Mytilus edulis: one gene and its partner. The protein of the gene in region 1 interacts with the protein of each later gene in a pairwise test. Links are inferred from orthologs where the notes say so. Each region holds a gene or a part of one and is shown in the gene's direction. Other genes may lie near its edges.

What was found.
Region 2: the proteins of dihydropyrimidine dehydrogenase [NADP(+)]-like (region 1) and Golgi-associated PDZ and coiled-coil motif-containing protein-like interact in a two-hybrid assay, tested with the Homo sapiens proteins (2 studies listed by BioGRID and IntAct). The link is inferred for Mytilus edulis from reciprocal best matches to the Homo sapiens genes DPYD and GOPC.

What each region holds. Positions count from the first base shown.
Region 1 is NC_092344.1:85,724,891-85,741,360, forward strand, and holds the start of dihydropyrimidine dehydrogenase [NADP(+)]-like, read left to right. Parts: upstream 1-9,710; 5' UTR 9,711-9,804; coding exon 9,805-9,843; intron 9,844-13,631; coding exon 13,632-13,742; intron 13,743-15,809; coding exon 15,810-15,895; intron 15,896-16,470.
Region 2 is NC_092353.1:75,386,345-75,403,506, reverse strand, and holds the start of Golgi-associated PDZ and coiled-coil motif-containing protein-like, read left to right. Parts: upstream 1-10,169; 5' UTR 10,170-10,228; coding exon 10,229-10,441; intron 10,442-14,851; coding exon 14,852-15,016; intron 15,017-15,457; coding exon 15,458-15,633; intron 15,634-16,176; coding exon 16,177-16,342; intron 16,343-16,515; coding exon 16,516-16,611; intron 16,612-17,162.

The sequences.
Region 1 (16,470 bases):
TGATTATTTTTTGCTTTACAAAATCGTTAAATACAGGAATCAATATAGTTTTGGCAACCAAAGGTGGGGTCGGGGCGTGCAACTTATACGTCATCTAGATTCGCCACTTAGAACGAAATTCATAACAGTGTGGTCGACAGTAAAACGTTTATTAGTAATTGTACTGAAAAGTTTACCTTTAACTTGTTTGTCGTGGGCGATGATTTTATGCTCACTCAGTCTATCGGAGGCCTTCAAGTGGGGATTTAAATAATCATTTGTTACACATTTTGTTACATAAAATGAAACTTTCTTTTCACATATCATTTAAGGAATTTATTTTAAATAATTGTTATACCATCACTTACAACAGTTTAACTTTTAAGAATATTAATGTCCAGAGCTGATATCAATAAATAATAATAAAAAAAAAAGTTTATTCATGGTAAAAACCAGGTGCTCCGCAGGGCGCAGCTTTATACGACCGCAGAGGTCGAACCCTGAACAGTTGGGGCAAGTATGGACAAAACATTCAAGCGTGATACAGCACTGAATTTGGATTGTGATCAAATTTTTGACATTACATGTTTTTTTTTTTACACAAAACAAATGTCAAGATTTTACAAATCAATTAAAGATTTCTTCTTCAAACTTTTTAAATCTAAAATTAAATAGTTGACACAGCATAGGTTTCTGACACAGAATGAATGTGGTCTAATGAACTTAAAATATTTTTTTTGCCTTTGAGCAATTCACTATGCTGTTGAATATTAATCCTCTCAAAAAAATGTTTGAAGAAATTTTCTTTTTATTTATGAAATCTGAAATGAGAAAAATTTAAACCCCCCTTTTTTTCACATCCCCGTTTCCCTTTTTCCAAAACTGATATCAATTCAAATTTCTAATGGAGTTTGCAACAATAACTACTCTTTTAAATACATCATAAAATATTAAAATGTAAAATAAAGTGCTTGTTATCACTGAATGGTAAAGATTGGTTGGTAGTAAAAGTGAATATACATTGTTTATTGTATAAAACAATAAAAAAAACTTCATCAGCAACATTTTAGAATGAAATTCAAAACAGTGTGGCTGTGGCCATTGATTGACACATTAAATTCATCCATTGACTGGGACAATTTAGGTGAACGTTTGTATGTAACGACCACTGCTCACTATGTACTTTTTAAAGACACTTAAACTATGGGGTCACCAAAGGTTCTCAACACCTTAACAAAGTAATTCGAAAAATAAATCAGAAATAACACGATGTTTTGATTTATATCAATTATATAAATCAAAACATAAAGGTTATTCCTGATTAATGTTTCGAATTATTTTATAATTAAAGGCGTTAAGAAACCTTTGGTGACCCCACAGTTTAAATGTCTATCGTAGTACGTCGTGAACAGTGGTCGTTACAGACAAACGTTGACGTAAATTGTCCCAGTCAATGGATGAATTTTAATGTGTCAATCAATGGCCACAGCCACACTGTTATGAATTTCATTCTATATTGGCAAATTTCCAATGAAGTTATTTACATAAAGTTATTGGCAAATAAAAATAGAAAATGACATCATAGTCATGTCTGGCAAATGTCCAACATACATTATCTAAAAACATTTTAGATAAGATAAGGAAAAAAAGCTTCATCAGCAACATTTTATATTGTTAAATTTCCAATGAAGTTATTTACATAAAGTTATTGGCAAATAAAAATAGAAAATGACATCATAGTCATGTCTGGCAAATTTCCAACATATATTATCAACTTCTATTCTATACAAAGAAAGGTAACTCCAATTGAAAATTAATTGCTATTGCACAATATTGTGCAATTAGATATTTCTTGCTATTGTGCAATACTGTGCAATTGAAAATTTCTTGCTATTGCATAATACTTGATATGGAATCCTGATTTGGACCAACTTGAAAACTGGGCCCATAATCAAAAATCAAAGTACATATTTAGATAAAGCATATCAAATAAGCCCAAGAATTTAATTTTTGTTAAAATCAAACTTAGTTTAATTTTGGACCCTTTGGACCTTAATGTAGACCAATTTGAAAACTGGACCAAAAATTAAGAATCTACATACACAGTTAGATTTGGCATATCAAAGAACCCATTTATTCAATTTTTGATGAACAAAGTTTAATTTTGGACCCCCATTTGGACCAACTTGAAAACTAGGCCAATAATTAAAAATCTAAGTACATTTCTAAATTCAGCATATCAAACAACCCCCAGGATTCAATTTTTGTTAAAATCAAACTAAGTTTAATTTTGGACCCTTTGGACCTTAATGTAGACCAATTTGAAAACGGGACCAAAAATTAAGAATCTGCATACACAGTTAGATTCGGCATACCAAAGAACCCCAATTATTAAATTTTTGATGAAATCAAACAAAGTTTAATTTGGACCCTTTGGGCCCTTTATTCCTAAACTCTTGGGACCAAAACTCCCAAAATCAATACCAACCTTCCTTTTATGGTCATAAACCTTGTGTTTAAATTTCATAGATTTCTATTTACTTAAACTAAAGTTATTGTGCGAAAACCAAGAATAATGCTTATTTGGGCCCTTTTTTGGCCCCTAATTCCTAAACTGTTGGAACCAAAACTCCCAAAATCAATCCCAACCTTTCTTTTGTGGTCATAAACCTTGTGTCAAAATTTCATAGATTTCTATTAACTTAAACTAAAGTTATAGTGCGAAAACCAAGAAAATGCTTATTTGGGCCCTTTTTGGCCCCTTATTCCTAAAATGTTGGGACCAAAACTCCCAAAATCAATCCCAACCTTCCTTTTGTGGTCATAAACCTTGTGTTAAAATTTCATAGATTTCTATTCACTTTTACTAAAGTTAGAGTGCGAAAACTAAAAGTATTCGGACGACGACGACGACGACGACGACGACGACGCCGACGACGCCAACGTGATAGCAATATACGACGAAAATTTTTTCAAATTTTGCGGTCGTATAAAAACCAAAAAAACTTTTAAGTTAATAGGGACCCGCGTTATTTCAGAAAATATCTTATTGATTAAGAGAACAAAAACTTCTACGTTGTGATCATTTAAGAGTGGCCTTCTATTTATTCAATGCTAACCATGTGGGCTTTTTTTTTTTATATATACCATAAATCGATTCGTTCATTCAGATATTTGTCAGTTTGCCTTGGCTCTTCAAGTCCAACACACAACTTCTCACGAAATTAGTATTTTTCTTACAAAAATTACATCCATGTGATGTATTCTTTTCATGGAGAATGAATGTTGCACCTTATTTTATTTGTTATCGTTTTTTTTTGTGTGTGTATCATTGACGTATAAGACAACCTGAATCTTCTTTATTCAAATTTAAAACATACGAGATGGCAATTATGACACAAAATAACTAAATTAAACTTACAGCAGAAGAAAGATAATGAACATCGCTTTTATAGTCTTCTAAATATCGAAGACGCGTGGTCTTTTTAAAAATGATGTAAATTTATAAAGGAAACAACAAACAAAATAGTTCGAATATTTATATTGGAAAAAGTAACGGTGTGTAAATCATAACAATTATTTTATTTCAATGAAAATCAAACTGTTGAATTTTTTCCGCTGCGAGCAAATTTTTAATTTTGGTCGCATTTTGAAAATCAATAAATCTTGTATTCTTGTTGGAAGCTGCACTGTGTAGTTTATACCCGTTTTTTTCAATGCCACACAAATCCAACACAGACAAAAAAAATGGTAGGTTCAAGAAATAATTGATGCAAACTATACTTTATTGTAGTTTTAACATGGGTAGGCATTATATTCGTGATTATTTTTGCCAGAGCGATATCGAAAAACTATTATAAAAAGTGTCCTAGTTCAGTGAAAATGTACGTCATACTTATTTCCTAAACAAATAAATAAACATTAATTAATTAACATACAACACTACCAAAGGCCAGAGACTCCTTACATGTATGATTTTGTAAAAAAATGCATCTTTTTAAAACAGTCGAAAACAAAATTGTCTGTCCAATGGAAAAGTCGAAGCCCAAAAAAGATGAACAGTGCATTATAGAAACATAGAAGCTGGTTGCAAAAGTTGACGACAAGATCTATTTTATAACTTGAGTATGGCCTAATACTATTAACCTGAAATAAATATATTTATAGCAATTCCCTTGATACGAAAGATCTACATGTTGCCTTGGGCTTTTTTTTTTCTTTTTGTTATGCTCTTTGGTTGGGTTTTTGTCTCAATGACAATTCAATTTTCATTCTTATCATAGATATAACTGCATGTTAAAATAAGAATATGAAGTGTGATAGGCAATCAGACACATTCTTTCCAGGGACCAACAGGCGTTATCAAGCTATAGGTCCCCGTATGGCCTTCGACCATTAGCAAAATACACACTTCATAGAATGAAAGCTCCAAGAGGTCTTGGGATGAAAAAAACAAACATAAAAGATAAGCGAGAAAAAAAATAGAGATACCGCATGGAAATTGGAAAATGGTCCGCAACATTAATTTAGTCAACTCACTTAGTTGAAATTAAAGACCTGGCGAATTTTAGCCTTTTGCAATGGATGTGATGTATGTTTAAAAAAAATCATGGTTTGTTTGGACATTTTTATAAATCAAGTCTTGTTTTTAAATTATTTGCAAGTAAGTTTTAAGTCATGAACAAATAATCACTCACAGAAAGACGTCAAATCCATCAACAAAAGAAAAAAATTAATAGACGACCGACAACGCACAGAATATCATGTATGTGTTCCGGACCATATGAGTATTTGGACCATACGCATATATCATGACCATAAGGGTATACTAATATGGTCCAACCATACACGTATGGTCCAAATACTCATAAGGTCCGGAACATATTTTATTTGCGATCACAAATGAAAGAACATGGCTTTGCGATATCTTATATGAAAATTGATTGTCGAAACATAACAAAAACACAAGTAAAGGACGTTTAATTAATCAATATAAATCAAAACACAAATACCTGATTAGTATTTCGAATTATTTTATATAGGCGTTGAGAACCTTTGGTGACCCCACGGTTTAAATGTTTATATTAATGACGTCGTGAGCAATGGGCGTTATAGACGAACGTTCACCTAATCTGTCCCAGTCAATGGGATATTAAAGTGCGCCAATCAATGTCCATAGCCACACTGTTATGAATTCGATACTATCTTATAAAGTGTATACCGAATTAAAATATTGTAAGAAATGAGAAAACAGGGACATCCGGCAAATCGGATTATGTGAGTTGGATTATGTTTATTATAATAAATGCCGAATATCAAGTTCTTTTTATCGGGTTCTATACATTTTTTTCAAATATATATAAAAGTTATATAGCAAAAATGATAAGGCAGACAAATATACAAATAAATCGACTTGACCGATATCCTAATAAAACTTATTGACCTTTAATTACGAGTTGTTTTTTTTCATTTCTTTGCGTTTTTACACGCCCTGTGTCCAATTTTGACAGGACGTATTATTGTATACACCCGTCTGTCCGTCCGTCCTTCCATCCGTCCGTTCCTCCATCTATCAGTCATTCGGTCCGTCCGTCTGTCCGTCTATCTATCCGTCTGTCCAGCATAAACATGTCGCACCGTAACTTCAGGACAGCTTATCTTATTTTCTTAAAATTTAACATAGTTATTTCTTATAATGGTCAAACGATCTGCAAACCTTTTAGTGAAAATCAAAAAATCTTTTTGAGTTACAGAAAATGTTAGTGAAACAGGAATGTGGGTTTTTTTTAACATGTCGCGCCATATCTCAAAAACGAAGTATTATAACGGCATTAAACTTTATACACTTCTTAGTTATATAAATATTTTAAACTTCTGTTTACTTTTTGATGATGTTTAAAATTTTGGTTTAGAGTGATTGAATTTTTTTACATTTATAATATAGGGCCCTGTTATAGCTTGCTTTCATGCAGTTTGTGTGTTTTTCTCATTGTTTAAGGCATACGCTGACCTAAACTTGATTAATTCAACATATTTTTTGTGTCTAAAAGAAAGTTGTCTCATTGTCAATGTTTATGAGATACGTGGTTACCGTCACTTCTTCTTAATAAGACCTAGATATAAATGACGGTCATGTTTTGCAAACCAACTTTTATTCACATTGAAAATACAAAACTGTCAGATATTGTTTTCGAAAGTTATCTTGAAGTTTCAATTGAATTTGAACTGTACAAAAAATGAATTTGAACTGTAAAAATAATGTGAAAAACATGCCTATGAAAATAAATGTGCCTACCAGAAACGGGGAGAAAGTTACAAATCTCACTGCTACATGTATGTTATGGATGCTTAAGTGTGAAAACTCGCTTAAGTGCGCAAGTAACACAGTATATATATATAGTACCAGAAAATCTGGCAGGATTGCATGCATGATTAATTTGTGCAGAACAGTATAGACTATAGTCGGTTTGGGACTGTTCGTCAATGATTGAATGCATAAATGTATTAATAATTGATAGTAAATATTGTAAACTAAGTGTATATAATATAGTATAGTAAATTAAAATTATGGCACAATCAAAACACATCCTTTTATTTTTCATCTTTACATACTACTATTATAAACAAAGAAAATATAATAATGTTACAAAATAATTAGATACCAGTGTTTGCTATTCAGTATTTATATTCCATTTAAAACTAGTTTGAAGTTAGTGAAATAAGGGATACGCTTTTCATTAGGAAAATGTGTATTATCATAATTAACTATGTCCAAAAGTGTCCGTTTAAAATAGATTTTAACACGCCAAGTTTACTTTACAATAAATATATATTTAAATTCTCGAAAGACAATGTTCAGATCCGTGCCAAAGTTTCTTTTCATAAATTGTTTGTTAAAAAAAAAACAAAAAAAAACCGGGTGATATATTATGTAGACGAAACCGGGTGATTGTGTAGTAACAACATTGACGAAAACGGTTTATTTTAATTTGACATGACCCTTTTCTTTCGTTCCATACACAGAAATACAATTATTGAGATGCTCATAATAACTAAATTTGCAATCTCCGTGTCAATATCTATCTTCCCGTACCTTTCTTTCCGTACAATGTGAACAATTTTACGAGAAATTAAACAATTTCGAGGCAAGGTTCACTCAATTCGTCATTTTGACATGCATTTTGACTTATTTCTCCCTTAATATAGTACGGTTGTAGAAAATATTGCATCTCACAATAGAAAATAGTTGTATATGTATATATATTCTTCGATATCATAAAAAAAATAAAAAAATAAGGAGAAACCTACCTTTCTTTTGTCTATTGGTGTTCCGTCATTGTGCCGGATGTTAGATACCATCGAGTCCGAGCAAATATTGCCGGTGTGGTTTAGACACAGTGTATTATTTTTTTTCATCAAATTAGTGATCATATTATTTTAATGTACCATTATCGAAAAGCCCCTCGTGGTAGTATCAAAGTAAAAAAAAGTGACTATCTATATATTGGATTCCCCAAAAGATTACCATTTATCACTGATATAAACTTTTGAAAAGAATTTTCAATTTTCAACATGCCGACACCTACAAATGGATAGATGGGCGCTTAATGTAGTTCAGTGGCAACTATTACATAAATATGAATGCTAGATGGGCGCTTAATGTAGTACAGCGGCAACTATTACATAAATATGAATGCTCGTGAAAATAATGTTTATGGTATACGTTTATATATGATATGAAAGGTTTCAACTTTTACAAAACCAGAGCTATAAGTCAGTGGATTTAAATTTGGCCTTTTTAATTTTATTTCACTTTATTTGCCTTTTAACTTAATTTGATTCGAGTGTCACTGATAAGTCTTTTGTAGACGAAACACGACGGTCTGGCTCAAAAAACGGCAAAATTTATATCCTGGTATCCATCTATGATGAGTTTTTGTAGATACCTTGTAACAGTATCTTGGCTCCAATCTACTAATATTTGATCTTAGTACTCTTCATTTCAGCGTAAATAAGATATATATATATATATATATATGTTAAAAACCTCCCACATTGTAGACTAGCACAACCTTAATTGGGACACCATGCATTCAGTATTCCTACCGTACCAAAAAAATATTAACTAAAATCATTGATACAAGTCAATATAATTATGATCGTCATACAACCGATAAAAATGAAAACATAACGTTAAAAGTTACGACCGAAGCGCTTTTCTTGATCGACCTTCTTATGGAACGCTCAAAGCTGAATATTTAGGGCCAACAAATAACAGATTAAAACGTTGAAGATGATCGTTCATAATGTACATGAAATGATATATTCTTTAGCCAACACGATTGCAGAAAGTAAGAAGTCGTAGAGCAAAACAGAAAAAAAATCAAATCAAAAGAGATTATACACCGTGTATTGAGCCTTTTTATTGCTTAGAGTTCAGTAGAAAATATATATATACATGCTCAACCTAACTATACTATTTGACCTACTGCGAGTTGTTCAGTTTTACTGTTACTCCTGTTTCTCCTAAAATATGGGTGCTAGAAAAAGCAGCAAGTAAAATGGCCAATATCAGAGCCGTACATATGGTTTTGAAATGAACTCTCTTCTTTTGAGAAATATCTATTTTGTCATCCAATTTTTCACCGCTTACAAATGTCTGTCTGTGGTTTTATTTCAAACATTAACGTTTAAGTATCAGTATGTTTTCAATTCATATTGTTTCGTTTCGTTCCGCTTTTTACAGGTACCCCTCTTTTTGCCCCTTTTCTATTTTTGATATTTTAATCAAAAATTTAAAAAATCAAACTTTCAAGAAATGAAATAATCAAAATTGCACGTAAGGTTTAGTATTTTAAAAGTTTGATCAAATTCCTAAACTCTCAAATTTAAAAACGATATTCAGAATTTTTATGTTTTAATAATTTGGTTAAAATTTAAAAATTTCAAAACTTTTACACAATTTGAAATTTTGATATTTTAAACTTTGATCAAAATTCCAAAAATCTAAAATTTCAAAACTTTTTAAAACTTTGAATTGATAAGTGTTACACGGACCTCATGCGTTTTGGGGAGATTAACGCATGAAAGGTTTTTTTCCTGAAAGATATCACCGCTGTGTAACTGTGAAGGATAAAGAAATGCACAAACGAGGCAACTTTCTAGTGATCAACACCTTATTTAGGATTTGGCGACAGTAACGAACATTTCAATTTGTTGATTCCGTTACAGAAAAAAATAAAAAAATAAAAAAAATTTGTGTTGGTCCACACGGATTAAAAATATGCAGATTTTTTAATATTAATAAATAGGGAATAAATTCCACAACGGCTTGCCATAGTCGACAGCCGATCGTGCACCCTCTTATTGAAAATGCGTGATATACCCAAGCGCCTGTGCATTTTAACTGGAATAGTTACTGTATATGTTTACCAAAGTTAGTAAACATTATCAAGGAATATTGTATATTTAAATATACAATTCCTTGACATTATATGTACACCGTTTACTAAATCTGAACGGATGTATCCTTGGGACACAATAGTAAATCGATTCATTGAGATTGTGTAAACATCCTAGATGTTATCTGAAAATGGCTTATAAAGTCGATAATCGAGGTTAAAATATTAACAATACGGTAATTAAATGAAAATATACAGAAAATGAGAAAAAACGATGTTTTAAACAATTAGTATTCAGTTCAGGTGCACTGGAATATTTGCGCTGGAATAAATAGAAATCCTACTTCCCCTACACGATACAATGGACTAGCTAAATGACTGAAGGTTGACCTGACCGCATTTATATGTAAACAAGTTCAGCATCATGGCCACGTTGTTGAGCAGGGATGTGCAAGATATAGAGGTAGGACTGCATTGACAATACACATTTCTATATTGCTATATAAAATTCTTTCGTTATTAAGCGTTCATTTGCACGCACTGACTTCATAATTCATGCATTAATCTCTTGGACAAAACTGACCCAGATAATGGACATATGATATAGATATCTGTGTTTGCATAATCATAAAATGATTTGGATAATGTTATCGAAACCGATTGAAACAGCATCCCATGAATACAGAACTTTGAACAAAAGTTTTCATGCTATATAATGGACTAGCCCTGTGAAGAATATATTATTTCTTAAATTAACCTCTCAATATCAATTTTTTGAAATCTGTCATATGAATTGATCCATAATGACGGATCAAAAACTTTTTACAAAAAAAAAGGGGGCACTGACTACTTTAATAGGGGTGGATTTCAGTTATGCTTCAGTGATTTTCTACTTAACATAACATTTTTTCCCACAAAGTAGGGGAAAAGGGGGGGGAGGGGGGAGCTGCCTTTGATCCTGTTTCAATGGCTATACTTTTGAATTTGCAAAGATTGATATGTTTTACTTTGACACAGCTACAGTTCACCTTTAATACAGCTTTCAACCACAGGCACTTGCATATATAATACAGATATTTTTTTTTTTTTTTTTTGTTGATTAAAATATTCAATTTTCTATACTTATAATACATAAACATGATAAATATCACTTCTGTGCATTTCTCACCTAGTTTCGAGTGATTTAAACGAGTCAGATAAAATACACAATTTTACTATCCATACTACGAAACAAAAAGGCAACTAACTAACAGCAACAAACGACAACCACTGAATTACTGTACAGCTAGGCTCCTGACTTGGGACAGGCAAATTCATACCATGCAAATAGAATGTTACGCTACGCTAGTGGATGTCCGGCTGACCAGTAGAAATTTGTCGCTAAAAATCACTGATTGCATTCCAATCTCCGTTTGTTTACAAAACAATTTACCATTCGTCTCAACTCGGTCGATTACGTACCCTCATCTAAGGATAGAAGGAGAGAAGCGGATTTTACCAAGGATTGCCGAATGAACAATTTACCTGTGAAATTAATTACACGGTACTGATCAAGTTAATTTGATCAAGTTAATTAAAATCTCGGGTGAGCATCCTTCACAACAATATAAAATGTGGAAATTTTTGGAAGGAGTTAAACCGCCGGACAAAAAAAATAAAATAAGTGAAAATCAAAAGGAAGATCGAAATAAAGTAATACCAAAAATCATGGGAAAAAGATCGTGAATGGTTGAATTATATAGTAGATTGGAATTTAATGAACTGTACAACATGTGAAAATTTGGAATATTTCTAGACATGATGCAGCGCTTCAGACGACCCAGTCAGGCACCCTATGGTCATCGTGAGGATTGAGATGACGCGGAAGACAATGTTGATATTTTATCTGTTCTCTATCTTGATTTTGATCAAGAAAATACTTGAGATTATCAAAGACTTTATCAAAATCAGAATCAAGACTATCCCTTTGTTCCTGTGTAACTTATGAAAGCATCAAAATAAAATTAAACATCTATCATTTATATTAGTGTTTGTCAAATGAATGTCATTTTTGCAGGACCAGTAGATTTGGAGCTGGACCAGTAGAGTTTTCAGTCCACTGGTCTGGCTGGCCAGTACACAAAAAAGCTTAAATTCATCTTCTGTACAAATGTATCTATATGCATCTGTAGCAACTAATCAAACCTAGTTAAACATGTTAAAAATGCTTTAAAGTTCATGCAATATAATTGCAACATACTTTAGTATGTTTCATTTGTCTGTTTGACTTGGCAGTTTGCATTGGCAGATTATTCTTGAAAATACAAAAGTGAGTTGAAGTAATTGTTGCATCCTGGACAGTGGTCAAAAATGCAATTGATATGGTTTTCTATGCTGATCAATCTGGTATTGCATGTTTGAGTATATGGCTTGGTTCAATGTCTCTAAAGCAACTCTTTCTACTCTTGCTATGACTCAAAATATTTTTGTATTTGTGCATTTCACGTTTTTCTCCATTTCTTTTGCTTTTACAAGTAAATTAAATATTTTTCTTCCAAGTTATGAACCTATAGCTATATTACACAAATTAACTCTTACATAACCATTGTTAAATGCTCAGTTTTTCTTGCATTTTTGTCTCTTTGTTTTTAATTCCCAATTGTTAAATTTAATGAAATCAACACTGCTTTTGAACATGTTGAAACCCCAGAACCTAAATAAAATTGTAAGGGACTGATATTTACCATGTTTTATACTGTAATTTTTATATACCAGGTATCTCAACATAGGATAAGGATAACAATTACAGAGGCAGATTTAGGGGGAGGGGGTGGCGGCTTCCCCCTTCTTTTCTGGGAGCCCCCCCCCCCCCCATTACTGGGAAAAATTTGGTTGATTATATAGGGAATCACTGGAGTTGGCCACTCTTAGGCAGTCAGTGGGCCCCAGCCCCCCACTAATGAAAATTTATGGTTCTGTCACTGAAATATACTAGAGTTGTCATGTCATAATAAAAGTAATTTCTGCACTGTTTTAAAATTTAAAGTAGAACAACATCGTTACTTTAACTTGTTTAGACATTAATTATATGCATGACATTTGTAAGACAGTAGACATGGTAGAACTAAATTTAGAACAATAAAGTTGGTCAAAATGTATATCATTGTATATGCATGCTAGTTTCTGAAAACTACACCTAAGCTACATTAGTATTGTTCAATTTCTAATGGAACGAACATGTTAGAAAATTGTCTTAAAATTATCAAATCTCCAATTTCAAGTCCATAGATTTTTCTTAAAACTATATGTTGTTGATACATCTATTTCCATTTTACTTTAAAATCTGTTCAACTGTTTTCAATTCTGCTGATTACATCCCACCAGTGCAACCATAACCTTTGACATTGATTGGAAGTCCCTGGTTATATCCTTAAAATGTGTTTTGTGTACATATTTATGTACTGAGGTCCATTACATATATTGTTGTTATTAGACATATTAAGTACAACATCATTAATTTAACATGTTAGACATTTATAACATGTAGGTATATATATATATACATGATATATATGACAAATTATTATTCCATTGGACTAAATTTAGGACAATTATGTTAGTTGGTCAAATATGTTTACTGAATTGCTGTAAAAATGGTATATCTACTAACGTAGCTATATATAACTACATAATTTTATTGAAGGCAAACATGTTCAAAATTGAATATGGTGATGGACAGTTACATGAATCATTGTAATTTTTTGTCCTTTTGAAATTAACTTTATATTAAAGAAATGAAGAATTTAACTTTTATCATTTTGTTAATGACATGAATGAAGAACATCTGTACGATATTATAACTTCAATGTCATGAATATGGTAATGTAAAAGTAAATAGCTAGTAAAAAATGGTGGACATCAAGTCATTAATCCATCATTTATCAGAGAAATGAGATTTATACTTTTTTTCCCTTTGAGGTACCATTATCATGATTATCATGATAATAAAAACATATTCTTTGTAACAAATTAAAAAGTTTGAAATACACAACTGTGTTCCTATTCTTAAATTTCTAGAATTCTATATACTGTACACACAATTAAATTTATAATTCCTCATTTACGCAGTGCGCATGGTGCGAGGGACATTTCAATAGGGCATATATCCTAGCCAGTAATTATAAAAAAAAATCCCACCTGCCTAAAATATTAATATAGTGATACAGTGATATAGTGATATAGTGATTAAAAATCTAATATTTTATGTTCCAGAACATATTAGCTCTGAATCCTAAAATTCATCAAAATGCCAATCTGGTACCTAGTGCTTCAACCAAGAAGAACAAGCAACACTGGAAAAGGAACCAGGAAAAAGGATGTAACGTAAGTCACAATAATATGATATATTAGTGTAAACTAACATTTAATTGTATACCAACAGTCATGACAGTCTTGATGGATGATGTTAACCTAGTACAAATGTTCATGTACTGTAAACCAACTAGTTTTCAAGAGTGATTTAATTAGGCAACTTTCACAAGTAGAAAAATATCGCAAATATGTAAAACTTGGGTTTTAGTTTAAACATATTTATTTAAGGGGATTGGGAAACAAGTTTTGCGACTTATATTAATCCCTTTCCACTTTTCGGGTGCAATTGCTGCCTTGTAGCGGCATTAGCCTGCTCTTTTTCGAAATCTACAAGGGTGTCTTTTACGTGCAAGAGATGTGGCTCTCTCTTAACACGGGTCAGACATTTATCGCCCCCTTGGGTTTTCCTTACCATTCTTACTTAACAACATCAGGTAAAGGAGTAGGTCTGGTAAGGGTCGATTTTGGCCTCAAATTTCAAGTTCATCTAACGAAAGATTTTAGACAGTTTTTAAACACTTAAGTGTCTATTTCAATTGATTCAATTAGTTTGTGTGAAAGATTTTAACTGATTTAGTCATTAAAAACGCACCGATTCAAGCTTAAATATGAAACATATATCAAATATGCAAAAAAACGTAACTTTTCAGCTGGTTTTTGTCAAAAATGAAAGTGGCCACAACTTTGTTCATCCTTAACTTTATATATATTATGTATTATCATCAAATACAACTTAAATTTCAATAATATGAATGAACATGAATGCAGTCCCTTTCATTTTTATAAACAGAAACCGTCTAAAATTTAACTAAAATGCTAAATTTTTTAAGATTTCAGTAATTTAGCATGACTTAATGATGCTTAAGTACCAGGTATATGTGCATAGTTTTGTCAAACAGCCCATGTTTATGTAGCAGAAGCATTCTACTCTCCAATAAATAGCTTAAAGATTACATTTTCACATTTTTGTAAAGCTGCTATATTTTGGGGCCGAAAAGGGGTCTTACTGAACCTTCTCCTTTGAGAATTGCAAAATCAAATGACCATTGAATGGGCTAAATGGGAAATAAAGCATCCTCAAAAATAATTATTTTACAGTATTTAAAAGTTTGTTAGCAGAACATCCTTTCTGAATGTTCCTCTTTGAGAGATTGCAGGCTTAGAATTTTAATTTTGTTTAATTACATCATGTAACATCAACAAATCATAATAATAGAAAATATACCTAATAATGATTCCAAAGTTACTTACATATACTATAAATAGTAGAGAATTTCGAAATGTTGAAGGAAACGAACTTTGCATATAATTATGCGTTTTTATGCCCCACCTACGATAGTAGAGGGGCATTATGTTTTCTGGTCTGTGCCTCCGTTCGTCCGTCCGTCTGTCTGTGCCTCCGTTCGTCCGTCCGTCTGTCTGTGCCTCCGTTCGTCCGTCCGTCTGTCTGTGCCTCCGTTCGTCCGTCCGGTTAAAGATTTTGGTCGAGGTAGTTTTTGATGAAGCTGAAGTCCAATCAACTTGAAACTTAATACACATGTTCCCCGTGATATGATCTTTCTAATTTTAATGCCAAATTATAGTTTTGACCCCAATTTCATGGTCCACTGAACATAGAAAATGATAGTGCAAAGTTCAGGTTAAAGTTTTTGGTCAAGGTAGTTTTTGATGAAGTTAAAGTTACATCAACATGATCAACTTGAAACTTAGTACACATGTTCCCTATGATATGATCTTTCTAATTTTAATTCCAAATTAAAGTTTTGACCCCAATTTCACGGTCCACTGAACATAGAAAATGATAGTGGGAGTGGGGAATCCGTGTACTATGGACACATTCTTGTTAGAATTAAAAACTATACTTTTATTGACGATAAGTAGATGTAGGAAAATTTGTGAGTTCAAAACATAAGACACATATGAGAATTGAAGCCATTTTTTAATTTGTTGAGGCAATCATTTATAAAAGAACAAAAAAAAAACCAATTGTTTTATAAATTAAAGCTTTATAAACATTATTAAAATATTGTATTTACTTTAATATACACTGATTGAAAGATGTATGTTTTGATGTTGCAGAGTTGTGAAACAAATTTGGAGAAGAACTTTGAAGATATAAAACATACAACATTGAGTGAAAGAGGTGCATTAAAAGAAGCATCTAGGTATGTTACAGTAATAACACAAAAGCAAATCTATATAACAGTACAAAATAAGATTATTAATAAATGTAGGATAAAAGTCAATGAGACAGGTTATCAATATTGTTATCTTCCAAATGCACCCATATCAACTTTGAAGCTTTGGGGTTGAACTGAGGAAGTTTTTGACTGATGCAAAAATTCAATTGCAGTTTGTGACCGTTCATACCTGAGCATACATAAGATAATCTTCTGTTTTAAGATCACCACAGTAAAGGATTATACATGTACTTAATATTTTTCAGTATTTACTGAATTGTCTTCATTTAAAAAGAATTTTGAAAGAAATCCAATTGGAAATACATTTCACAGAGCTCCAGATAAGGATTCACAAATTGGGGTTTTTACCCACCATTTTCTTATATAATTGGGTGATAAAGTTTTTTTATTGCATTATCAATTCCAGTTCACCCCTCATGTTAATATCAAATTGGGTTTTTCACCACCAAGCTCCTTAATGTATTGGGTTTTTTCATCAACACAATATTGAATATTTAGGCAATATCAACCCCAGATTTTTTTCCATCTTAAATGTGTTT
Region 2 (17,162 bases), on another chromosome or scaffold:
GTTGGACTCAGTCACTCTTCATCTTTAAAAGTTTGAAGTATTTGATTACTCTAAAGTTTTGACGAAGAGAAGCACAAATTATAGTACAATTTCATATTTGTAAATACATGTATATGTAACGTTAGAAGAAAATTGGAAAATTATACATAGCCTTTGTTCTTGAGGACAATTGACTAAGCAGACTACATTTTTCAGGTCCTAAATGAGTAATTTTAAGATGATTTATTATTGTGAATTCAATTGTTTACATAAACCTTGTTTGTTTCATAGTGATCATGTTGAAGTAATTGCTGCTTTCGTTTGAGTTTATTAAATGTTTAGAGAAGTCTTTCAGTGCTAAGTTTTGAATTATACATGTTAAAAATAATAATTATGTCTGTTGTGATGGTAATGTTAATTTTGATGGGAAAATGCAACAAATTCAGGGCATGAATTCCAAGATTGATGGTGTGAAATTATGCAGCGGAGGGCAAATGTCATGCTACAGATATTTAAATGTATAATTTAGCATCAAATGACCTATTAATGCGTACAAATATTCGAATACAATATTATCTTGCATGTCCTTTATGTCAGGTAGATTTGGATTTCAACTTATCAGAAAGTCAAGTACGAGTTTTTTTGTTTGTTTAAATAGCATCATGTTCAGTATCTTTTCATGAAGCATATATAAAAACCCTTTACCAATACAAATGTATAACATAAAATTTTAGGGATTTTATTTTTTTATTTTCCTTTATGTATATAAACCTAATGCTGGTATTTATTTTAAAAAATGAGACCATTACTACTTATATTTTCCTTTATTCAAAGTTGTGAATTGTCAATTTTTCTATATTTTGTCTCAGCTATCTTTCATACCTAGTACTCACAATGCAATGTTAAATGGTTTGCAGGTGTGCTTTTTTCAATTTGTTGTTTTGTATTCTCAAGTTTATGCTAAAATTGTAAAATAATTGATTGTATCATTGACTTATTTTTAATTATAAATTCTTTGACAATATACATGACATTATCACTATGTTTTATATCAATACACATCATTTAAAATACCTTTGAAAGGTCCTTATCATAATCTTATTAGTGGTCAACATTAGAAGATCATGATTTCTGTAATTGTTCTCACTGTAAGCTGCAAAAGTTTCATTTCGTTTGGCAGATGTTCCATTGAGCAATTACAATTTCAGTGGTTATTTTAAAAAGTGTTTATAGATAAGTTTTTATAAATAATGTAAGTGCTATTCTTTGATGAAACAGGCAATACGACTTCCACAAAATTAAAGAATCATGAAACTTTTGTTCACATTAATGAAGAAAACAGTACATCAAAGAGTTTGCTTTTTTCTTAACTCTTTTTGTACTAAAACAACTTATAACATCATTTCATACTGAAATATTTGCCAATGGGCATTATGAAAACAACAATTAGTCAATAATTTATATACATAGTTAACTTCATAACGTTCATTTAAGTTAATTCAGTCATTTAACAAATTCCTGAGTTTATTTATACATCCATCTGTGTGGTAACATGTTGTATGCTTTCAAAATTGTTTATAGTCACTGGGGCCTCGGATACAAATTCAGTACTTTGGTGGAAACCCAATTTTTACCCACAAATATCTTCAGCTAGTTTAGGTCAACAAAAATCCATGTCATCAAGTGGTTGAAATTTGATGTGAAAATTATGTGCAATATATATGTATATAAAGGTTTTATTGAATTTTTAGATCATCACAAATATTTTATAAAACTTCTATGAATGAAATAAAATGGTAAAATATTTATGAATTATTTGTTATTTTCTTATCTTATTGTTGCCTTATTTGTATCCTGAATTTAAACAAAAATCTGTTAACAGTTATCAAAGGTACAAGGATTATAATTAAGTACGCCAGACATGTGTTTCGTCTACATAAGACTCATCAGTGACTCTCATATCGAAATATTTATGAAGCCAAACAAGTACAAAGTTAAAGAGCATTGAGGATCCAAAATTGCAAAAAAGTTGTGCCAAATACGGCTAAGGTAATTTATGCCTGGGATAAGAAAATCCTTAGTTTTTCGAAAATTTCAATGTTTTGTAAACAGGAAATTTATAAAAAAAAAATGACCACATTATTGATATTCATGTCAACACCGAAGTGTTGACTACTCAGGGCTGGTGATACCCTCGGGGACGAAATGTCCACCAGCAGTGGCATCGACCCAGTGGTGTAAATAGTTATCAAAGGTATCAGGATTATAATTAAGTATGCCAGACGAGCGTTTCGTCTACATAAGACTCATCAATGCCCTCATCAGTGACGCTCATATCAAAATATTTATAAAGCCAAACAAGTACAAAGTTGAAGAGCAATTAGGATCCAAAATTCCAAAATTTTTTGCCAAATACGGCTAAGGTAATCTATCCCTGGGATAAGAAAATCCTTAGTTAAGTCATAGTTAGAATTTAGAATGGAAATGGGGAATGTGTCAAAGAGACAAGAACCTGACCAAAGAGCAGAAAACAGGGGAAGGCCACTTATGGGTCTTTAACACAGCAAGAAATCCTGCACCAGGAGGAAGTCTTCAGCTGTTCCCTGAACAAAATCTGTATTAGTTTAATGAAAATGGACGTCACACCAAACTGAAAAACATATAAATTAACTCCTTACTGTAGTTCGATTAAATAAAACACATAAGACATACCAAAGACGAGAGGCTCCTGACTTGGGATAGGTGCAAAAATGTGACAGGTTAAGCATGTTCTTTTAGTAGTTTTAAATCCACAAGTTTAGCAGAGTTAAATGATTTACGATTCCAGTTTTATGTGGGCTTTTCACATTAATATAATACAATTTAACGAAAGAAATATTGTTTCAACCTGGAAACATTTAAGATATATGCAGTCGCTCCTGAAATATTTCTACATAGAAATGAAAATTAAAATTTGAAATTGGGAAGCTGAAATCATGTTTTTGTCTTAAAGTTGTGTACTCAACTGACCCTCATTGTCAATTTCGAGAAGTAATTCAAGACTGAATCTGTTGTATAATTTGTTTTAGTACTGTGTGGGATAGATCAGTTCAACATAAGCAACAAACTTTAGATTTATTTAGTGTTTGAAAAAAAAGTTTTATCACATTGAAACTGAACTCCGAAGAAAATTCAAAACGGAAATCCCGCACATGGAGGTGGGTTTCAGCTGTCCCCAAAATAAAAATGTGCACTAGTTCAGTGAAAATGGACGTCATACTACACTCCAAAACATATAACTAATCTAAAATTAAAAAAACAAACAAGACTTACAAAAACCGGAGCCTCCTGACTTGGGGCAAGCGCAAAAAATGCGTCGGGGTTTAACATGTTTTGTGAGATCTCAACCCTCCCCTTATACCTCTATAGAATAAAGAAACACACAGCAATACGCACAGTTAAACTTAGTTTAAAAGAAGTCCAAGTCTAACAAGATATCGTTTTCTGCATTTGGCTTTCTTTTTCATGAAACAAAGTAAGAACAATTATTTTAAGTTAAAACGGAAAATATTTTTGTTCAGGATAGAAAAGAATTGTTTTATACCATTGCAAGAGAAAAGTGACTTAGATAGTATGTTGCCTAACAGATCTTTGAATTTTTAAGTATCCATATTTGATCCACATTGTCCCTAGATTAAGTAGTGCCACAATTACTCTGAAGCAGCCTTTGATTGCTAATAAAATAAATGTAAATAGTTTAGAAAGAGCTCGGGGTGTTTTTTTAGCATTTGTAAACTCAGCAATATAAAGTTTCTTTTGTTGTAAGGACACTGATGTAATTTAGGTATCCAATTAACTGGAGATAGAGCTGGTTCTGTTTTTTGTTTAACTTTGTAAACAAACATATAACAGACCTTTGATTATTTAAGATTTACTCTTTGGTGAGTAGCCAGGGGTATTTTGAGTGGTAAACGGACAGAAAGTCACAGGACAAAAAGTCACAGGACATAAAGTCACAAATTTGGTAGGACAAAAAGTCACAAATAATTTGTTGACAATTGTATCAGAAAAAATGAATTGTGACTTTTTGTCCGTGACTTTTTGTCTGTGACTTTTTGTCCTGTGGCTTTCTGTCCTACATTCTTTTGAGTTTCCGGTTGAATTATAAATATTCAATTCATTTACCAATTTAGCATTTATGTCCTTGTAATGTGACTTACACAGAAACACGATGTTGTTAGTAGCTAGCGGGACAACACAATATTTGTCATGGAAGTATGACAGGTTATTAGCAACATTTAAGTCTTTCAAGTTCAATGTACCTTATGTAGTTAGTATTCATATTCCAATTTATATCGGGAGATTTGGCATGCCACAAAACCAGGATCAATCCATCATTTTTTTCTTCTTAAGATGTCCTGTACCAAGTCAGGAAAATGGCCATTGTTATATCATAGTTTGTTTTGTGTGTTTTACATTTTAATGTTGTATTTGAATTTCTGTTGTGTCGTAGTTCTACTCTTATATTTAATGCGTTTCACTCAGTTAGTTTGTAACTCGGATTTGTTTTTTTCTAATCGATTTATGAATTTCAAACAGCGGTATACTACTGTTGCCTTTCTTTAACACGATTAGAAAAGTATACGATCTCTTGTTTGCCTTTAGCCAATTTCCTGGCATAATCATCGACTGAAATTTAGAAGATTTTTTAGCCTTTGTATAAGACTTTCCACTCAGAAGTTTAAATGACAATGTTGAGGTCACCAGTAATAAAATGGCTAGTTGGATTTTATATATGAAGGCAACATTAATTAGTATACCGCTGTTCAATAGTCATGAATCGATAATGCGAAAATGATCATGAATTCGGGTTACAAACTAAAACCGAAGGAAACAAATCAACTATACGCGGGGGAGTAAAGACCCGGCAATTGCCTCACAAAAATTTCGACACTGGCTTTTTTTAATACGTATATATATATATATAAATATAACAGTCATTTATTGTTCTGTCATCATTCCTTTTATTAATAAATTATTCTCCCTGGATATAACTCAGCATCTCAACGGGTGATGGTTTTCGAATACATTAACCTAGTAACGATAATCATCATGGAGCTCTGGTTAAAAACAGGCTCTTGCAGAAAAAGGAAAACGATACCGAAGGGAAAGAAGGAATATTTCTAGTAAATTATGTTTTTTTGTGAACAGTCTGAGTATTGAATATAACTTCATAAGAACTAATCCAAAAACGATAAGCATACTGACAAATCAAGTACTGGACATCGCAAGGGGGCAGGCAGTCCTGTCTGCGTATTAATTTATCCGTTTCACCAACTTTAATTTTTCTCTTTACAGATAAATAAAATATAAATAATATGAAATATGCATGGATCAGATTTTATCCATGTTTCTTTAACCTTAAATATTGAAAGAACATCCCATATTCCAATTTGACATTATTGATGAACGGTTGGATCTTTAAAACAACGGTTTATTGCTGGGTCTTCCAAGTGCTCCATGAAACCTCTTTCTAAATTATAAAGTTTTTACATCAATTTCATCAGCTATCAAAGCTGGGCTTTAGAGTTATTGTGAAACTGCCTATTCTAGAGTTTGCGTGAACTTTTAAGAAGGAAAGAAAAGAAGTTAGCACTGTCCTTTAACTGTCCGCTATATAATGATGTTCCCTTACTACAGAATCGAAATTTGGTGACTATGTTGATAGAAATCAAAGGCACCAGGCTTATAAATTGATACGCAAGACGCGCGTTTCGTCTACATAAGTGTCCGGCCCATAATAGTGGAATCAAACCGACAAGAAATGAGCACATATGGTTCACATAAGAATACAGAATGTATATTAAATAAAATACCACCAAAGGAAATGATGTAAATAAAAATATCAAGCATCTTGGAATTTCAGTTTTATTGAACGTTTCATTTCAACAAGGTGGTATTTTTAAATGTATTTGTCCCTTTCTAAAAACAGATGTATATATGTTTCCTACCTCCATGACAAACATGTTGGTGTGCCCGCAGAAAAAGCTTGAATTTGTTTTTTTTGCATTATTTAAACGGCTTGAAACTCTTCAACTTTGTACTTGTTTGGCTTTATACATATTTTGATATGAGCGTCACTGATGAGTCTTTATATAGATGAAACGCGCGTCTGGCGTACTAAATTATAATCCTGGTACCTTTGATAACTATTGATAAGGGAATTGTGTATTGATAATTCACTTTCTTTTTAACAACTTAATTCCTCATCCCCACTTTTTTTTATCTCTATATCCCACTTCCCGAAAGCGTGTCATTCTCTCTGTTTAGTTCTGATTTGCAAGCATTGACAAAAGCTAGAAACCCAAATTCGTAAGGTTTATATATTAATCAAAGGTAGTTATAGAGTAACTGTGATTCTGTCCAGTTTGTACTGCGCATTTTAAAACTTTTAAAAGAGGGTTTATATACTACACTTGAATGGAAAAGCAATACAAAGTTGCTTGTAACAGCACTTCTGTTATTAGTTATCCAGTAGAGCTAAAGAAAGACTAATTTTAACAGATATTCCAAAAGAATATAAACGTCACCTTGATGTTAATGATTTCCTCGTTACTACGTAAGGTGAAAAGTGAAAAGTGTGAAAAAAATCTCAACAAGCGATACTTGTAAAATGAGCACCCCATTTAACCTCCTGAATCAAAGACTTATGAGTTGGTATATAAATACCAGAAGTACGTCTTTAGAATAGTTATCAAATGTATATCAGGATTATAATTTAATGCGCCAGACGCGCGTTTCGTCTTCATAAGACTCATCAGTGACGCTCATATCAAAATAGTAATAAAGCCAAACATGCAAGAACAAAGCTGAAGAGCAGTGAGGACCTCAAACTCCAAAAAGTTGTGCCAAATACGGCTAAGGTAATCTAAGCCTGGGTTTAAGAAAATCCGTAGTTTTTCGAAAAATTCAAAGTTTTTATAAACCGGAAACTTATAAAAATGACCGTATAATTGGTATTCATGTCAACACCGAAGTCACGATGACTACTTGGCTGGTGATACCATAGAAGACTCACAAGAAGCGCTCGAATCAAGACAGTTGAAAGGCAAAATCAATTAGACAATTGAAGGGCATTGTAAAGCAAAAGTTCAATACAAAATCTGCCTATCAATCAGAAAGCTTAACATGACGTCCATTTCCATAGATTTGTGGTTAAACAAAACTTTATTATTTAGTAAAGATGGCGTTTGTTTTTGTTGCACTTCAGCGTCCCTGTTGTTCCCTGTTGTTCCATTTGTTTTCCTCTTATTATGATGATGTGTTTCCCTCGGTTTTAGTTTGCAACCAACATTTGTTTTCTTTCAATCGATTTATGACTTTAAACACCGGTATGCTACTGGTGCCTTTATTTGGTACAGGCATTTTCTTATACATGTATAGAAATGTATTTAATATTTGAATGAATAAAAATGGTGTTACCGTAACCTTATTAAGACATGTGTTTACTAACTTTACATTAATTCAATCTTTCAAATAGAAATTAGGGATAATTAAAATGAAAAGATGCAAACATTGGGGTTGAAAGGTAATTTTTGAAAACAAATACCTCAGGGGGTGGAGTCTAAGGAGTCACACTTTACTATGCATGGATTAGTTGATCAGAGGAAACATATTCTAAGACACAGCTGCACTTTTGTATTCAATTGAGTCATGCATATTGTGTCCTACATCAAATCAATTTTGTTTCTGTGGTTTTCCGTTTGGGAATGACAGTAACATAATCTGTTTCAACTTCAGGAAACCACAGACAAATTTAGAGATAACACACTTCAGTATAATATGATTACAAATATGAAGCTAAAAAGAATACAATTGGCAAATGCTTTTGAAAATAGATGGGCGAAAGATATCAGAGTGACAGTCAAATTCATAAGTTGAAAATAAACTGACAACGCCATGACTAAAAAATAAAATTACAATCAGACAAATAATAGTACAAATGACACAACACAAAAATAACTAAAGACTAATTTAAGCAACACGAATAGACTTATAGAATGGCGACTACGTGACTTGTGATCATAGTTAATCAAAGTAAAACGGAATAATTAAACACATAAAAAAGGTCATTAAATGTAACTATTATTTTTTTTCTAGATTCAAGTCAATATTAAATTAGTATAATTAACATACAAGATCAACCAGACGGTAGGCAAAGAATCAAGGACACTAGGCTTTCTGAGAAGGAACCTAGGACGGTGTAAACCAGAAGTCAAAGCTAACGCCTACATCACCATGGTCAGACTTACCCTGGAATACGCCTCCACTGTATGGGACCCTTACAAACATACCCTTGAAAAAGACCTAGAACAAGTACAGAGAAGGGCAGCTAGGTTCGTGTACAATGAATACCAAGATGTATCCCCAGGTTGTGTCAGCTCCTTAAAGGAGAGACTAAAATGGGAGCCTCTTAAAGATCGCCGCTGCAAAGACCGACTCACCATGGCATACAAGATCCGCAATAGATTGGTGGATATTGACCCCTCTAATTATTACAAACCCGGAGATTCAAGGACCAGAGGAGGCCACCACATACACCAACAGCGCACTCTAAAAGACCAATACAGGTACTCCTTCTTCCCAAAAACAACCAGGGAATGGAACACTATACCGGAAAAAGCCACAACAGCAGCTACACTAGAAGAGTTCAAGGCCAGCCTTACCATCCTGCCAGAGGTCTTGACAGGAGCTTCCCACACCTAGATCTCCTTTGACCCCAGATGTACATAGTTTTATTTGTAAATAATTTTCCTGTAAATAGTTTTTATTAAGTGAGGAGGGAAGGCCTCATGATTTCACGAGCAAGAGTCATTTATACACTCAAGAAGAGTCCGACTCTGTACTGAAAGAAGAAGAACAACTTGCACAAAAACAACACCAAATGGTTTGGGTCTAAACTAAATATGGACAATTTACGTTCGGAACTGTTAATTATCGAGCAGTTTGTTGAAAGTTATTTTGGTGGGAAAAGGTTGATGGGTATTGGCTTCTTAGATGTTAGATACAAATTAACATCAAGTATCGATGATAAAACAGATATCTTTTAGTATATATATCTAATCACAGTTTCAAGGTAGTGGGGCAAATGAGGTGTTCATCTCCCATTGATTGAAAAATATATAGTGTATCATTTAATCGTTCAAAATCATTTTAATCATTTTACTACTGGAAGTATTGAACGACCTTGGCTGGATTTTTAGCCCTCGCATGGTCGGCTTGTGCCGGAGTTGTTTAGTAGTATTTAAATATTTTCTGCGGTTGGACTGGAACATATGGCACCTACATTCAACAACATAAACATGTATTACAGTTTACTCCGTTAGGTGCCATTTTGAACTCCTTAAAACAAATAGTATCCAAACATTGATCATATGCCACATACAAAAACATAATCGGACTGCTATCAAACAAATAACAATTACTTTGTTTTACATTACGAATAATTACATCGGAGAAAACAAATGGTTAAGAAATGATTTACGAACTTATAACAGCTTTGTATGGATAAGAGAAAGAACGTATTGAATAAGGTGAAAATAGAGTAAATGTTAAAAAATGTTTAAATAAAATCTAAACAAAAAAAAATAAAAATAAAAAGGAGGCTTCCATTCAACAAATACATACCCTGTGTGGACAAGAACAACAACAAAATCGGTGCTGAGCAATATGCAACAACATAGTTGTTCAGTATATGTTTTTATGTCTGTTGGTTTCCTCTAGTGCATATGTGAATATGTGCCATCGGAATGTATTCAATGATTTATATTGTGATTCTATTGTCATTGCTGTATTAGAGACATATTTAGACTGGGATCCCGCTATATATAATGCACATTTATCTAGACAGGCGAACCAGTCTAAGACATATTATACAAAGAACTTTGCAAATATGAAATAAAAGGCGAGGAAAAAATGCCGAAAAAAAGCACACGATTAAAACAAGAAAAACAATTAATGAATATTTTAAATATAAATACAATAAACTTAGCAATCTACAACTCTACAACTAAGTTAAATTTTATCTTTTTGAATTTGCCGCTAAAAAAACTTATTTTTCCGGAAATTTTCCCGTTTGATGACGTGTGACATTTTGGTTTTTATTCATTTGAATCATTTGAGCGTTTGTAATTAAAAAAATTTCGTCGTCTCCTATCATGAACTAATTAGACCTTGAAGGAAAAAAATTAATGTTTGTCGCCTAACCAAAATGACAGCTACTTTATCGTTTCGGTGGTTAGAACTTTTAGAAAAGGAATTTGACAAAGCGTTTGTAGATCTTGATCTATTGCTTGGTGATATTGACCCTGACCAATGTGAATTAACATTTGAGGGCCGGCAAAAGATGACAGCTCTCAGTGCTGCATTTGCCCAGCTCTGTCACAAAGCTCAAACTGTGTTCCAATCAAATGCAAAACTTGAAGTAAGACTTACTATAGAAACCATTTTTCCATCCATGTTTGAAAACTTTGAAACCAAGAGTTGTCAATAACTTCTGAAAATAAAAATACTACATTTTATTTCTCAATAGACAATAATTTGCATCATCATGTTACATACAGTACCCTTCAAGAGTACCAACTCTCCCACACCCTACACCGAGGAAAATGTCGGAGCCACTCCGAAAAACTCCGATATTCCTCCCAAAATGTTGGGAGGAATTTGGGAGTAATCTCTCCCAAAATCAGGTAAATGTTTATTGTGATAACGAGCTCACTCTCTACACCGAGGAATTAATTGCCCTTATCCTACTTTGATCTATACCGGCACAAGACTGAATTGGTAATTGGATTACCTGACAGGTAAAGGTTGAAGTAATAAAGAATTATATTTCCGGTCTACTGTACCAGTTTAAGTGTCAAACAGGTGTATAATTTTAAATGTCTTTAATACTAATTAAATTTCATTTGTGGTAATTAAAACTAAAGTCAAAATATTTTCGTATTTTTTGTTAGCCCATCTAAAAATATCTTAACCTTAATGTACTTGCTTTAAAAAAAAAAACGATTATAAAATATAGCGGAATATGTGAAAAACAAAATATTCTACTTCAAAGTTAAAGTCTTTATTTAAAAATTATAAGTCTAAAAGTTTTATATATGCAAGTAAAAAGGAAAATTTATTCACCATTCATTAGACAAAATAATTGCCCCGTAATAATTGTGTAAATCTACGGCATTTTCTTTTTACGATTATCTAATTGCTGGAATGAATAAAAGATTTAAAAGCAAAATGTTGTTGTTAATTCTTTCAATTGTATTCAAGTTTTATAAAAAATGAAAACTACTTAATTTTGACCTCGATGTCTTCACCAGTAAATTAATATTTTATTGACGAAATGAGCATACTTGTGTAAAAATAACCGGAAACTTTTGCTAAAATAATTTGAACAGTTAAATAAAATTACGTGTTTGAAAGTTTTGTATTTTCAAGTAAAAAGGAAAATATTATTCACCATTCGTTATGCTTAACAATTACGACATTTTCCTTTTACGATTTGTTGGCAGTACAGCAGAATAATAATACATTTCCGTTACAAAAGATTTTAAAAACAATTATTTGCCGTGCGAAGACAATTCCGCGATACACATCTCAGTTATCAACAGTTTGGGTTGAACTTGAACTTGACTTACTTAACAATGTTAAATGCTAAAAATAGTTAACATCAATGTTATCCACAGCACGAGTTTTTTAAAGGGCGGGAAAAAATATCGCGTACTAGTAAACTCAGGTGACCTTTCTGGCCGACCGTGGGAAAGTCCATTCAAGGTTTCTAAAGTTGCAGAACGACATTTTTGTGCAATCGTATTGAGGCTCCAGAAGGTCCTTTTACAATTGATTTATCGGGAAAATATAATTCTTATCCGAATAAACGTGAACACATTTTTAACTATTTGAATTTTAATGTTTTATCTTTCAAAAAAGAAAGTACATTTATAGTTATATGTCCATGGTCAATAATATAGATTTACAGTTGGTGATGTATTAATTGAAATTATGATGGAAATTGTCCGGGGTGATTGATTGTATTCAAATGACAATAATCATGATAATACGATAAAGAAATGCCAATTGTAGGCGGTTGGGAAATTTTGAAAATAAAATGATGACTGATTTAACTGGAATAGATAATTATGATGGGCAATTATGAGGTTTGATAAATTTTATTAATAATTAAAGGATTAGTGACCTATCGGATAGCGATAATCGGATTACTTATCATCACAACTTTTAACATCTTTTGTAAACGTAAAATGATTGAGCGTCATAAACTTGTCAAACACCGGTAGAATTATAGTACATTTATTATATAATTAATGTGAAAATATTTTTCACTTTCCAAATTCAAATGACGAAATTGATATAAATACTTTCGTCAATTTGAAAACTGTTCTGTAAAATGCGAAAATGACGAGCACTATCAATATCACTTGAAATTATTTCCTTTGTCAACAGAGTTGTCATTTAACAGTTTCTGTTCGTAATTTGAATTATTCAAGTCTGTATAAATGTACCGAGGTTGTGAAACATCATATTTTACATTGCTCAATAAATTAAGTTTACTTGATGATCCGATGAATCGGGTTACCGAAAAAACAACATGATTTTATTAGCCAGTTGATTTTTTAATAATGAACAATTAATGCGCTGATATTGCTTATTGAATAAGTTATAAAAGAAACTAATTGTGGCAAAATCGTCCTTGCTGAAAGAACACAGTTACACAATGTATGACCTGACCGGACTGTAATAGAAACACAAAATAACAATTTTCTTCATACTTTTTCGTATGTACGTTCTATTTTAAAGATAACGGCATAAGACACAAATATAAAGGATAATAAATATCTTATTCTAAATGATATTGTCACATCTTTATCTGTCAAAGAAAGGAAAACATTTGTTCAATTTATAATACCGTGATTTTAAAGCACACCTGTGCAACCAAGATCGATTAAATGTTCAAAGGTAAATTATCTGGGTAATCCAATTATGTTGTCACGCGTCGTTAATTTGAAGTACATCCGATGGGCAATAAACCAATTAACAGCCACGCGGTGTTGGGAGAGAATCTTTGGAGGATTTTAGGAGTGAAATCCGCGGTACTCGGTGTGATTCCGAGAAACACGGAAATCGGAGAAAAAAGTTATCGAATCGATATTTTTGAAGAGTACTGTACATGTAGGGTTCATAAGCCAGCTCTGAAACTAGTTGAATCTTTCATGTCATACCAGTTGCCTTGTGACCAAAATCTATGCATCGTCACTTCCATCTCATATTGAGGAAACGGGCGATAAAGTGATGCTATACACATGCTACTCAAAATATTTGGGAAATTAAAACCTAAATAACTACAGTTGTATGGGGGTTGGGATTACATTCTTACTGAACATAAAATATTCCTAAACTACCCTGCAGATCGACGATCCAGAAAATTGTTGAAACTGTGATAGTGCAGGGGTTCATTTGCTGTCTGGTAAATAAACTCATCATAGATATTAGGATTGAAATTTTGTATTTAAGCCCAAGTGCTTTTTCTCTTCAAAAGACTCATCCCGAAGTGCTTTTTCTCTTCAAAAGACTCATCAGAAATTACACCATTAAAGTGTACATAATTGATGATCTTTTGAATCAAGAAATAACGTATTATAGTCCTGTAATATGAGGCAGGCAATACCTGTGAATGAGGACGAAGTCTGTATGAATTATTTTTTTTGTAACTTTTAAAAATATTTGTTAAAAAAAGAAACGGAAATACTGTAACGTTTTTGATTTTGGTTTTGTTGTTAGGGATTTTACTTGTGACATTATTTAAGTTATGGCGTCATGTTCAATGTAAACAAAGAAACTCAAAGCAATGCATCAGGTAACCTTAATTCATATCAAAGACAAAGAAGTATTTAAAATGAAATATTGGTATTGTGTTCCTTGAGTTTCTATATTTTACTATGTCTCACGACAACGAGACCGGAAGAAGGAAGTAGATTTCTGTGTTCTGCCCAAATGCGGAAATGAAAAAAAGCATCAAAAAAAAAGTTAACAGTTTTGAGTTCATTAGTACATTGTACAATGAAAAATTTCAGGAAATCTTCTCGATTTAAAAAAAAACTCATGATAAAATTTATTGATTTTTCTACTGTAATTATATTTTCTGGAACTGTGGGTCCATTCGTCCCTTTATCTGTGTGTCCCCCTTCAGGTTAAAGTCTTTGGTCAAGGTTGTTTTTGATGCAGTTAACAAGTTAAAGACCAATCAACTTGAAACTTAGTACACTTGTTCCCTATGATATGATCTTTCTAATTTGAATGCCAAATTAGAGTTTTGATTCCAATGTCACTGTCCACTGAAAACAGAAAATGATAGTGCAATTGGGGTATCCATGTACTATGGACACATTCTTCATGTTCTTGTATATCAAATATTGTTTAACTTTCAATACTGAACCACGAACAAAATATCTGATAAAAATGTTGAATGCAAATGAAATGGACCTACAAAGTAAAACTGCCAAGCATTGCGCATATGCCTCATCACTTCCAACTATAGATGTCTTTTATAAGAATCAGTTTTCGTTTAGGGAGGTGTAACCCTTGTACATTTTTTTTACATGTATTAAACAAGGAGGCCTAATCTGATCGCAATACATAAATTATTTTGAAATGTACAGGAATTATCATCTACTCATCTCTTCAGTATACATGGTATAATTGCAGGATGCTATTCTATTTATAGAAGTACAATGCATACAATCAATAATTTCAGATATTCTTCAGGTTTTACCTTCATGACTTAATTTGACATGACTAAGATTAATTTTATTTTAATTTCCAGGCACAGCTAGTAGATATGAGATCAGACATGATAGAAATGAAATCCTCTAAAGCTCTGGTTGACAAAGAACTCCATAATGTCTTATTACAACTCCATTCACTACAGTTACAGAAACAGGCCGATAAAGGCATAGAGGCTGATTCTACAAGCATAATGAAAAAACTGGTGAGAAAAACCTTTTGGAGAACATATATGATGTTCCTTGGCATTTTCTGTTTTTTGCTGTGCATTTACTGATAATGTGTCATGAATGGATACCCCATATTATCCTCTCTTTTCTATAATTTGTAACTAGCTGAACTAAATGTAAGATATCAAAACTGTCAAATATTTGTTTTGCTTATGTTTATGTGGCCTGTAATGAAGTTGTGACCCATACAATTTGTAAATAGGTAAGTGTGACCTATATATGGAAGGAATGCAACATTTGCAATGTTTTAATACATATGTATATCTGAAAGGAGTAGATTAGAATGAGCCTAATAATGATATCAAAATTAAAATACCAGTTTTTATTTGGCAAAACTTAATCTGTTGTAAATTTAGCAATAATACAAACATTACAAAACATTCTGAATTAAAAGTTTTCAATGTTTTAAATTACAGGAAGATGAATTGCAGGCACAAAAAGCAGAATTTTTAAATATGGCTAAATTAGAGGCAGAGGTAAAAGAATTAAGGAAAGAAAATACTGAACTACGTCAATATGTTTTAGCTCTGCAGGGAGAAGTTTATGGTGCAAGACTTGCCGCTAAGTATTTAGACAAAGAATTAGCTGGAAGGTAAATACACATTGAAACAGAAGTATAAGTTTTAAGATGAGTTTTTAGGCACCTATACAAGAAAGAAGCTTTCAGGGGATTGTCAGTGCCCATTTCATGTGCCAAGTTATATTGATGGAGGAAACCTGATAACCTTGATAGAGTCATAACCTCTGCCAGATAACTGGCAATCCAGGTCAATTAAGTTAAGTGTCACAAGCTCAGTATATACATGCTACATTGCTAGCTGATTGCTGTTGATGAACTACTTAACCCATTTAGCCACTGTGGCCTCTTACACAATCATTGAGAGCAATGAAAGTTTTTACCTTATGCTGGTAGACCCACTTTGCAGAGCTTCATAAAAAAATGTATTGATAATTTATTTTTGTCTTTGATAGGCTGTACAGTGAACTATAGTTGTTAATTTCTTTTTCATTTGGGCTCTTCTGAAGAGTTGTCTCATTGGCAATTGCAATACATCTTCTTTTTATATGAAATATTTGCTATTATATGTTAAATAAACCACAAACAATCATCTATGATGTCTTTTATGTTTTGTAGAATTCAGCAGATCCAGTTGTTAGGTCGAGACATGAGAGGAGCAGAGCATGACAAGCTTTGGAACCAGTTAGAAGCAGAAATCCATTTACACAGACACAAAACAGTAATACGAGCATGTCGTGGACGGAATAACTGGAAGAAAAAATTACCTGTTCCGGCCGGCCATGTAAGTTTTAAAATATTTATGAGATAAACCTGTGTTTTGGGAACTCTATAACAATGTTGTCAAACTTTCAATAGAATTCAGTGAATTAATCATACCGGTATGAAAAATCTCCACATACATTTAACTGAATTACATTGTGCTATAAAATTTCAACATTGTTCTTAATTTTGCAGGACTTTAAATCGTTAAGAAAACAGCATGGTTTGGGAGATGTGAGGAAGGTCCTTATACAGAAAGGTGCTGATGATGGACTAGGTTTGTCAATAACTGTAAGTAAATATTTTAGGAAAGAATACATTGCAATTTTTTTGTAATAATGAATTTTCATTTTCTATACTGGTATACTACAGTCATTTTCTGATATAATGAGGATTTTTGTGAAATATGATCAAATTCAAACGTATAATGGACACACCATTCTCACTTTTGCAAAAAGACTTATGGAATAACTTATCTAAGAAATCAAATATAGAAAAATGATCAAGAGTGACCAAACAACACGTAAACTGACAAGTGTAGCTGTTAGCACATGATTAAATTGTCAGTGTTCTTCTGTCACAAGTTGAATAATTTTATACATATTAGTTCTTTGACAAGTTGTTCCTCTTATTACATTGACAGTTGGCTTTTAATGGCACTAATAAGTAAATTACAACAAACTATATCTTTTTCTGCATATTCACATTTTGTTTTGATGCATCATCATCTACAATGTCTTGACATCACCCAATGTATAAAATCAGATGAAATTAGATGAAATTATCCAATTTATTTTCACGTGAAATAATAGGATTGGTTTTCACATGTGAAATTATCCAAT